Caenorhabditis elegans: one gene and its partner. The protein of the gene in region 1 purifies or fractionates together with the protein of each later gene. This does not show direct contact. Each region holds a gene or a part of one and is shown on either strand. Other genes may lie near its edges.

Evidence for each region.
Region 2: the proteins of lin-13 (region 1) and lin-61 purify together in Caenorhabditis elegans (affinity purification with western blotting, with the first as the bait; one study listed by BioGRID). This does not show direct contact.

What each region holds. Positions count from the first base shown.
Region 1 is NC_003281.10:7,706,276-7,711,506, reverse strand, and holds the start of lin-13 (Zinc finger protein lin-13), read left to right. Parts: upstream 1-2,015; 5' UTR 2,016-2,034; coding exon 2,035-2,115; intron 2,116-2,158; coding exon 2,159-2,340; intron 2,341-3,021; coding exon 3,022-3,495; intron 3,496-3,539; coding exon 3,540-3,756; intron 3,757-3,803; coding exon 3,804-4,148; intron 4,149-4,201; coding exon 4,202-4,458; intron 4,459-4,495; exon of another isoform or gene 4,496-4,645; intron 4,646-4,713; coding exon 4,714-4,915; intron 4,916-4,962; coding exon 4,963-5,231. UniProt on the Caenorhabditis elegans protein: Involved in repression of vulval fate, possibly by a tumor suppressor protein Rb-mediated mechanism. May act in a common pathway with retinoblastoma-like protein homolog lin-35 and hpl-2 to influence the ER stress response in the intestine.
Region 2 is NC_003279.8:7,248,476-7,253,537, forward strand, and holds lin-61 (Protein lin-61), read right to left. Parts: upstream 2,808-5,062; coding exon 2,445-2,807; intron 2,342-2,444; coding exon 2,159-2,341; intron 2,111-2,158; coding exon 1,944-2,110; intron 1,818-1,943; coding exon 1,721-1,817; intron 1,671-1,720; coding exon 861-1,670; intron 774-860; coding exon 634-773; intron 580-633; coding exon 501-579; downstream 1-500. Other genes in the region: adsl-1 (Adenylosuccinate lyase), read right to left, coding at 1-201; Mitotic checkpoint serine/threonine-protein kinase bub-1, read left to right, coding at 3,472-3,545, 3,591-4,120, 4,164-5,062. UniProt on the Caenorhabditis elegans protein: Synthetic multivulva class B (synMuvB) protein required to repress the induction of vulval development by Ras signaling. Unlike other synMuv proteins it does not associate with the multiprotein DRM complex and the NuRD-like complex.

The DNA of each region.
Region 1 (5,231 bases):
TTCTTCTAATTTTTTCTAAAATTTCAAAATTAAAATTCTTTTAGTAACACTACAAATTAATTTATATTGCAAAGTTCCAGTATTAACTTTTCCTAAGCCCAGTATTAACTTTTCAAATCAATATCGAATCTTAATTCTATCCTAATTTCTCTTCTCAAAGTTATTTATTGACTGATTTTTAAACTTTAATCCTATTTTGGAGTTATTGATTCTGCGTTGCGGTCGCGTCGCGGTCACGCCACCCGTTCCTCACTTTTGTAAATTTTCTGAAGGTATCCCAAACGAGAAATCGTGCACAGCGGCTGCGTCGCGGTTTTTCATTTATTCAGTCTCGTTTCGTGTGTGGCTGGTTATTTACGCGGGCTGCCGCCGCCCACTTTCTCTCTTCCCTGCAGTGGCCTAAAATTGTATTGACCGCCGCGAAGTGTCCGCAATTGTGCGCCGTGGTGAACATTAACACACACGGGACCGGAAAAATGTGTAGTGTGTTTTTGAATATTATTTTGTTTTCTAGAGAAAATAAATATAGTTTAGAGTACAGTAAAATTATCGCTGCAAGACCACACTATAGTTGCAGAGTTCTTGACTGAGCGCTTCTTTAAGTTTTCTTGCTTTTATTTTATTTTTCCTGCTCATTGGGTTCAAATGTGGGCTTGCTCGAATTTCCACTTTAGCTGTTTTCTAATTTCGGAGCTGTATACTGTTCAAATCTATAGAATTTAACAATGTACTTTTTTCAAATGAATAAATCTGAAAAATGTGGCACCTGTAGCGATCACTATGACTGTGATCGTGGCGAGACCCGCTCAGAAAAACAACGTGTGCCTTTAAACTGACGAGTGAAATTTGTTGCGAAATTACGATAATAAAACTGGTTGGTGTGTTTGCACAGTTTTCGAAAGTTCTGCCTAATTTTTGGGGTCTGTACTTACGCGACAGAACATTTTATTATTTTCAGTGTACAGTATCCATTTACAGATACCCTTCTTTATTTTGAATCATCTGACCGTTTTAGACCCCAGTCCTTTTTGAATTTGTTTCCGTGGATTACTGTAGTTGCACAGCTAAATTTTTAAATATTTCAAACTGTCGTCAAATATAGCGCCGTAATGTACGCAAACACTTTGGGCAAAACCCATTCACTTTTCTTTTTTCTCCAATCGATTCGTCCTTGCTAGCCCCGTTGCAGTAGACACTGCAGCAGGGCAAAGAAATAGGTCTCGTTTCTCTGCGCCCTCTCCGCTGCTCATAGTCTTCCTACCATCGTTTGTCCGTCTGACCAATAAATATGAGAGACGCAGAGTGGCATATACGCTCTGCGGTACTTTCTATATGACACAGCCTTCAAATTCTCAATTCCAATGCGCGCCAAAAGATCGGTAAAAATTTTTGTCGCAGTTTCAAAATTTTTGTCGATTCCGTAACACGTTTCCGGATTTTGCTTTTTTAAATGAGAATATTATTTTTTCGGGGGTTTTAAAATATATTGAGTTTGAAGTATGACAGGATGTGCGCTGATTCTGCGTGTAGTCGTGTCGAGATCAGTAATTAGTGGGAAAGGGCTCACGAAAGTTCAGAGTTCGGTTTTTTGAAATCATTAGACCTCCAATGAAATAAACTTATCTAATAAAAAACCTAAACATTTTAAAGAGTTCTTATAAGTGTGTTCAATGGGTCGGACACGCCCACATAACCGCGCCCCGTATAAAATTTGTATCATAGTAGTGAGGTTAGCCAACGAATTGCAGTATATTTCACGCGCAAATTTGAAACAATTAAGTTACTGGTATTCACTATACATCGTAAAAAACCGAACAAACGTTTAAAAATACGCAAGTTAGGCGTAAATTAATTTCGAGAACATATGATAGATTCTTGAATAATTATCTTTGATTCAAACTGGAAGTTCATGTAGATTGATATTTTAGTTTTTTTTTGAGATAAAGCTTATCTCCAGTCATTCTTTTCGTTCAGTTCTCTCATTTTTTTCTGTTGCCTTTTTCAAAAAAAATTTCAGCTCTCCAAATAACAACTATGGATGAGTTTGAGCTGTTTCAACAGCTCAACCAAACAGCCCCACTCGTTAAAACGGAGGAGCCAGAAGTTCCAGATGAGGTGAGAATCAGTAATCAAGTTGTTTAAATTACCCCAGAGAAAGTTTCAGCAAGCGAATAACAATCAAAGCGCTCCACTGCGTACAGGATTATCTGATCTCAGTCATGAGATAGCAGCTGCCAAACAGAGAGAAGAAGAGGAGGCACAACGGCTTGCTGATTTTATGCAAAAGGATATGAAAGAGCCTGCTGTCAAGAGGAAGAGAGGATCAGAAGAATATAAAAAGTAGGTTAAGTTTAAGTTATTCAAGGAAACTTTCAAAAATGCACTTAGAAAGCATTCACAGTCAAACATTTGTTAAAATTGCTAAATTTGTGCGAATTTATTTAAATTTGTGCCACTAGAGCGCACTTTCCTCATTCGCAATTCACATTTTTGAGGCCCCACGAAAAGGGGAGCAGAACGAAAAGGGGATCTGCAAAAAGGGGATCTGCGAAAAGGGGAGATACGAAAAGGGGAGATACGAAAAGGGGAGCAACGAAAAGGGGAGCTGGCACAGTGCCAAACGCACAAAACGCTTTTTTATTCTCATTCAACGCACGACTTTGTTATAACCACACTCCGTTATTACGCATCGCGCGTTGTTTAGCGTAAAATACACAAATAATGCGTGCGTTGAATGAGAATAAAAAAAGCGTTTTGTGCGTTTGGCACAGTGCCAGCTCCCCTTTTCGTATCTCCCCTTTTCGCAGATCCCCTTTTTGCAGATCCCCTTTTCGTTCTGCTCCCCTTTTCGTGGGGCCTCACATTTTTCTTGCATCAGGTAATTTTTTAAATTCAATTTAGACTGAGTTTCACCGAGTTTTCATTTAACTGAACGAAATCTAAATACCTGGTTAAATTTTTATTTTTTCATTACCATAAATCAAAAAGGAATTATATTTACACTTACATTGAATATTTCAGAGATCCTCTTGAATCGAAAGCTCCGTTATCCACATTTGGACACTCTTCCCGACCCCGTAGATCAGTAAACTACGCGAGTATTGAACGAGGTGACGAAGCTCAAGCTCAGTCACTGGTTACCGATTTTGGAAGCCGAGGGAACCGGAAAAAGCCGAAAAGAACACGAGATGAGCTGGACGAAAATTATATGGAAGAAAATGAGGGTAATTCTGGCCGAAAGAAGAAACCTAATGCAAAAGGCGCATCCCGTCAATTTCAAGTTCCGGGTTTACCAACCTATGCTAGTCAATATTCAAGACCTCCAAAACAAGAAGATGTGTTTAAAACGATTGTCCCATTAGCAGAAGATGCGCGAGCAGAAGGTGAACGAGTAATTGGATTCCGACTAGATTCACAACCTGCTGTACGGAGGGCTTCTGGAGGATTTCGACGGTTTTGTGCATGGCTCAGTGATAACCAGATTTTTTCGATAATGTTAGTTTCTAAAGCAACGTTCAGATTCTCAATTTAAAATTCAGGCAAACTGTCGATAAACTTTGTATCGTTGGGGCAAATAATGAAGATCATGACGAAATCCTATTGAAAAGTATTCGTCATGTATACAATGCAATGCCTCCAACGTTTCGTCGTGATTGGGAGTATGCTGCAAGGAAGGATGTGTTCGATTCAAGACTTTTTGTTCAAAATATGCCGATGCCGCTTTCCGAAATCTCGGTCACGGACCCGCGTCATCCGGTAAAATTTACGGTTGTTGATATTTATCTAAATCAAAAGTTTTCCAGCCAAGTCCGATTGCGCGCGGGACAACTGTTCGCCCAAATTGCTGTGAAAATCAGCCATTGTTCTTAAATATGTGTGAAACTATTGAACACTACCTAGGACATCATGACGTGGTTCACCTTTTCGGATGTGATATCTGTTACAGAGTTTATCCGTCTCGATATGAATTAACTAAACACGATTGCAAAGAGTTTGCGGAGTACCTGCGTCAATTAACTTTCAAACAGCAAACTTTACATCTTGAAGCCGCGTACATGTACCTCTGCTGTTCTCAGTGCGGATTGTGGCTGTCGGTAAAACCATCAGGCGAAGGAAAGAAAGGATGGACGTATTTTGCAACTGCATTGGTGAGTCATGAGTGATTATACATTTTTTTCTCTGATTACAATTATTTTTACAGATGAACCATTCTTGTCAACCGTTGGTTCCGGTCGTTGCTTACTTCCCAAAACCGTTGAAAGATGAAGGGAAAGGAATACGAATTCAATTTCAAGTGATGTCTGAACTAAACATTGGACTTCCGCTGAGTTGTTCTGAATGTAACATTGAAGAATTTCATTCTGTTGTTGAAATCGAAGAGCATTTCAAAGAAAAACACGAGGCTAATCATACCTGTATAAAATGCGGAAAAACATTTGGAACCGAGTTTATGTTGAAGTGAGTTTTCATTAGAAAAAAATAGTTCATGAAGTTTCAACCACTATTCAAGTTAATCTTATGAAAATTATTGATAAGATGATTATAGAACTGTGGAATATAAACGCGAAGCGAATTATAAAAGCAGAGTGTTACTTTCCAAAAATGTTTTTTTAATGAAATTTTTGGTCTTAGACACTCAGACAACAAATACAATTTAAAGATATTTATTTTTAATTGCTTCGAAACTTTTTTCTTTATTTCTTCAAATTTTAGACATCACGCGCAATCACATACAACTCAAACCGCACAGTTCGCCAACTATTTACAAATGTCGGCTACTTACCAACCACCACCGAGTTCTGGACGTTTGCCATATGTCGGTTTTGGATCGAGTATTCCTGCGATCGGAGGACTCACTAGCGGAGAAGTACAAGCTCTTGAAGCATCAGAAAACAAAAAAAGTGAATTTGTAGAGGTAGAGTGCAGTGAAGCATTTCAAGTTCTAAAATATTCAAATTTCAGCCAGATGAGTACACTATCCGCAAAAAACTACTTCGGTGGAAGCATGCAAAAACTAAGAAGGAAAATCGTAATATTACTGATAGTAACGAGAAGGAATTTTCATACGAACCGGGAGAGTCCTCTGGTGAAGAAGATTTTCAGAAAAGTCTTCTAGAACAAGATAATCAATCTTCGTCTTCTTCTGATTCTGATTCCGATAGTGATGATTTCACATCAAGCAAACAAAAGAAGAAAAGAAATATCAAGATTCGTGGAGATTTGGGATATGA
Region 2 (5,062 bases), on another chromosome or scaffold:
TACATCTCTATTGGATTTCATCTCATCAATTGCATCCTGAGTAACTTGTTTAAGACCGAGCTCTTTTTCAGCTTCAGCGAGCCAAATCCATAGTTGTCTCCAAAGAGTCGCTTTATTAGTCTCCGAGAGGATCGAAACAAGTGGACTATTCTTACAGTAACGAGTTGATAGAACCGACTCGAACTTGTCTTCGGAGGCCATGATACAATAAACTGAAACCAAAACGCTTAATATTTTCAGAACATTCAACATAAAACTGGTAGAATGTTTAAAGTGATACCACTAATACTAAATAGATAAGAAAATGGCGATAACCATGCAGAAAAGATACAAAAGAAACCATAAACGGAAAAATAATGTTGAAGATTCATGTTCGATAGGTGCAAAAAGAGTCACCAATGATAGCACAGTAAATAAAATAAGGGAAATACCAATCCAAAACGGGAAAGTGTATATAAGAGATCCTGCATACGAATGAAATTATGTTAATGTAGCTTTTATCAATAGTTGTACTTTTTCGGAGGTTGTAGAACATAACTGTGCGCTTCACACCATCCTATCGGTAGAATATCATGGGAGCTGAAATGATAGAATTTTCATTGAAAAAATGTCGTTCGGTCATGATAAACTCACTCCACATCATACAGTTCATCAAATTCTTCATCCCAGCCGTCGAAATTGACATTTATCAGTCTTCCATGAACTGATTTCACTGTAGCTGGACAAATAAACTGATTTTCACACATGTCAGCAGCTTCAAGGCGTAGTCCTACCTTAAAACAAGAAACAATTATGAATAACTATTAATAGTGAAACAATCTCAAACGATATAAAACAACCCGTTTGGAAATCAGAATTACCTTAAATTTGTCTAATCTCTCTTGGGAAGGCATTGGCTTGAACAAGTCAAGCGGTAGGGTTTCTGCAGATTCTTTCTCCAAGTATTCATCCCATCTGAATGTTCCTTTGAACTCATCTGGCGGAACAAGTTCCAAATTATACTTTTCCGCATAACCAACTGGGAACATAAATGTATTATTGATATGAATAGGAAAACTGTCTTCAAGTGCATCTGGACCATCCATTCCCACAATAAGATATCCTTCAGTTTTGCAAAATTTGAGAATCGAAGCGACGTGGAGGTTATTGAATTGCTGAGCCAAGGGGTCGATGAGCTCAAACTTTTGTCCAACCTTAACTTTTCTCCAAATCATGGGATCAATTGGATCTTTTGCTAATTGATCAAATGTGACGTCGTCTGAGTCATATCTTGGATTTTCTCCATTTTTTATTGCTTGAGCAATTTTATTTGTGTGCTCAATATATTCCTTTTTCGCATTTAGTTGATATCCATTGACTGCTGCAAATCCAACAGGAAATATGAAGAAGCTTCCCTCGTCTATCCAATATTGAGATCCAGAGCTAAAGACTTGTCTGTCGTCATCTGCATCTGGAAGCGATTCGGGAAAGTCTTTCTTTGTGATAGATACATTCATTCGTCGTCCACATATTTCTTGAATTCGCGCTACGCGTATTTCAGTAGAATTGGAATAATTTAATAGTTCAAGACGTTGTCCAACTTTGAAACGATGCTTGCTTAGGAGAGCCTTCCCTTCATCGAATTTTGGAGACAGCGAAGTTTGGCCGACGATTTCGCCATCAATGCAATTCTGAAGTTGTGAGATGATATTAACATAAATTCGGAAAAAAACAAACTTACATTTACATAATTTACCATATCATTTTGGTATTCTTCGTTGATTGCAAGCGGCGGAGCATATACAATTTTATCCATATTGGGATCACTCATTGCGGCGCTGAAATGTTCAAATTTTACTATTATACAAATGTTTCGAAGTTTTAATACGATTGTTCTCTAGAATTTTATGTAACAGAACCATTATTTATTTAGAATAGTAGAAAGAGCTGAGCGTCCAACTTACTTTGCCAAACCAAACATATCGTCCGATAAAATATTGAGCCAAAATTTCGTGTCAGCTCCGATAAACTGAGCCAGAACTCTGTATCCGCAAACTTTTTCAATTCGTGCAAACCATCTGACTTGAATCGAATCGCAGTTCTTGTCATAATCATGGACCACTGTTTCGAACTACAAAAATTGTATTTTAAAACCGATTTACGAACAATATGAACTCACGATAACTCCTTCCTTCACGCATTCGTTAAAATTAACTGTAAGGTTACGATTGAATGCTTCAACTGGAATGAAAGAAGTTTTTCCTTTCTCGAACTGATGTAAATAGGATTCCCACAAGTAGGTCTTATCGAGTTTTCTGTCCGATTTTTTGTTAGCTCTGACAATTTTCAGAAATTCAGACATCTGAAATTAAGACTGGTTTAAAACGTAATTAGAGAGAATGTTTATTGAAATTGAAAGTTAGTTCGATTTGATTTGATATTTCTCAGGCGTTCGTCAAATTCACAGTGTACTCAATATACTCCAACCCATTGGATCCACTGGTGCTACTCAACCCGTGCCTATACTCGCGAAAATTTCCATTTTTCGTGCAATTGTGCAGAAACCACCCATAAGGCTCGAGCTTTCCAAATTCAAATCCATGATGGCCGTCCTGATAGAAAAATATTTTCTTTCGAGCAAACATAGTCATACGTCCAGTGATGTCTTCATCGCGATCCCAAAAAGTATTGCCATCGTCTTCCCAATGCGACACTGTTAATTGGAACACTTCATCAAAATCACACTTAACTTCGACGCCAAACAGAAATCTTGTCGAACTGACTGTATTGTAGAACAACGCGAAGCACAAAATGACTAATTTTAGCATTTTGATGTTCGGGAACTAACTTTTCGGACGAACAAAAACACTCTTAACTATCTGGTGACAAATTAGACTACTGGGCCACGCTAACTTCAATTATTTCGAAACATTTTGCTTTAAAAAAAAAAGAAACAAAACAGGAAAATGGAGAAAATGTTTGAAAAATAATAAAAAAGAAATGAGAGACTCAATGCAGATCCGTCGATTTCGAAACTAGTGACGAACGGACTACGAAAAAATGGGCGGGCTTTTTGTGTTATTAAAAGTGTAACATTTCAAATTAAATTCCAATTGCATACAAACACTTTTTAAAAAATTGTTTTTTTATAATTTCAAATAGCTTTAAAATCAATTTTCAGTTATAGCAATAAAGCACCGCCCAATTTTCAGTAGTGCGCAATTCTCCAGATTCAAAAGAACGTAGCCATGAGAGTGACGTCACTGAACTACAGCGAAAAACGCGCTCTATCGAGCAGGCCCGCGAAGACTCGCTTTTCAAAAAAGACGCGCGCGTTTATATCCATTTCTTGTTTTCGAAGGTCCTAAAATTTAGAGGAGAAAGAGGGATTTCACGTCTCCAATGAACTCCGTAATTTTCGTGAACCGATGATTTTTTTATTCGCGTCCTTTCTACTTTGAAAACTTGTTATTCAGATTATTTCAGAAAGTTATGTCCCACATTAGAGTGGCATTCGCTCCACTCGACACCAATCCGTCGACATGTGGTCTTGAGACGTTCGCAACGTAAGTTTCCGTATATCTTGTATTTTAAATAGTCACCACTTTCAGGCAAATCGAAACGTTGTCTCAAATGATGACCGCGGAGGAAATGAAGGCGGAATTATACGACTGCGTTAGGAGAATTTTGCGGGAGCAAAAGTTTGATCAAATTCGTGAAAACGAAGCGATGCTCCGTCTCTACAAAGTTATGGGTCGATCTAGTACAAACCTGAAGGGAAGAGGCATTTATGAACAACTTTTCAAAAAGGATCATTTCACTGGTTCGCTGAAGTTCTATCTGCAATGGGCAGAAGAATGTGGAAAAGATCAAATGCTGGAGGAATTCAAAGATGTCCTGAAGTTGGCACGAGATCGTCTTTCCGAAAGAATAGAAATGACAGCAATTGAATCGGGATTTCGCGATTTGGTCGATGAATACTTCAATGGAGAATCTGGAGATATGTTCACACGACCGGATGAGACTATGGATCTTTTCAGATTCAATGCGGGTTCTAAGAAAAAGCGTCGCTCTTCGGTTTGCTTTTTGCAACACAATGTGCCTATAAATAACTCGGGAAAAGCTGCATTTGGACCAAAAAGTAAGTTTGAAAAAAAGTTATTATTCTCATTGGAAACTTACAGCCAAAACGGATCTTCGCCAGGCGTGTATCGACAGGCCAAACTATCATGGAATATCGATTGAGGAGTTTCGTTTTGCCAAATGGAAGGACACTTTCGGAGAAGATGTTGATGACGATTACCGAAAACGAAAAGACTCTGGTGTCGTTTTCGTGAAACATCAAGTCATTGATACCGACAGACAAGCCCGCGAAGAAGTTGAAAACCGATTCAACGCCAATCTAAATCCTAGAAGACGTCATCTTTCACCAGTCAGTGAGAAAACGGTTGATGATGAGGAGGAAAAGCGAAGCCGGATTTATTCGCCGCTGGTTGCAACGAAGGATGCTCACAGACCTGCACTTCGGAGCAAAATTGAGAATCCTCCAGCGACAGTGACACTTTCGTCGGATACAAAGTCTGCTTCGGAGAAAGATGTTAGTGATTCCGATGATGCAGATGATGATGAAAGACTCAAGATTATGACTGCCGGCAGAAAAGATGGTAACCCTCCAGACCGTTCCACAAGCATATCTTCCAACTATTCAACTGCTTCTGCAAGAACATCAAAGAGTGGAGCTGGATTGGATTTGATGGCGGAAAATAAGTGTTTGGAGGCACATGCTATGTTTTCCGACACTGTACATCTTGCTAGCGAAAAGACAATGGTCCTTGGCGATGATTCTGTCTTCGTTCCAGAAAGATCTTTAGCTACTACGCAGATAGTTACTGACTTTTCCGTGCTCTGTGATCCTGATCCGACAATGACCATTACACAGGAGCGTCCGAAAAAAGTGTCGAATGGGTTGAATGTTGTTTACGATGAGGCAGCCGAACCGGAAGAATCTCAGAAAGTTGAGGAATCTGAAGTACAACCCGAAATTGTCCTAGTTTCTCCAGTGACGCAAACCTCACCAGCTACA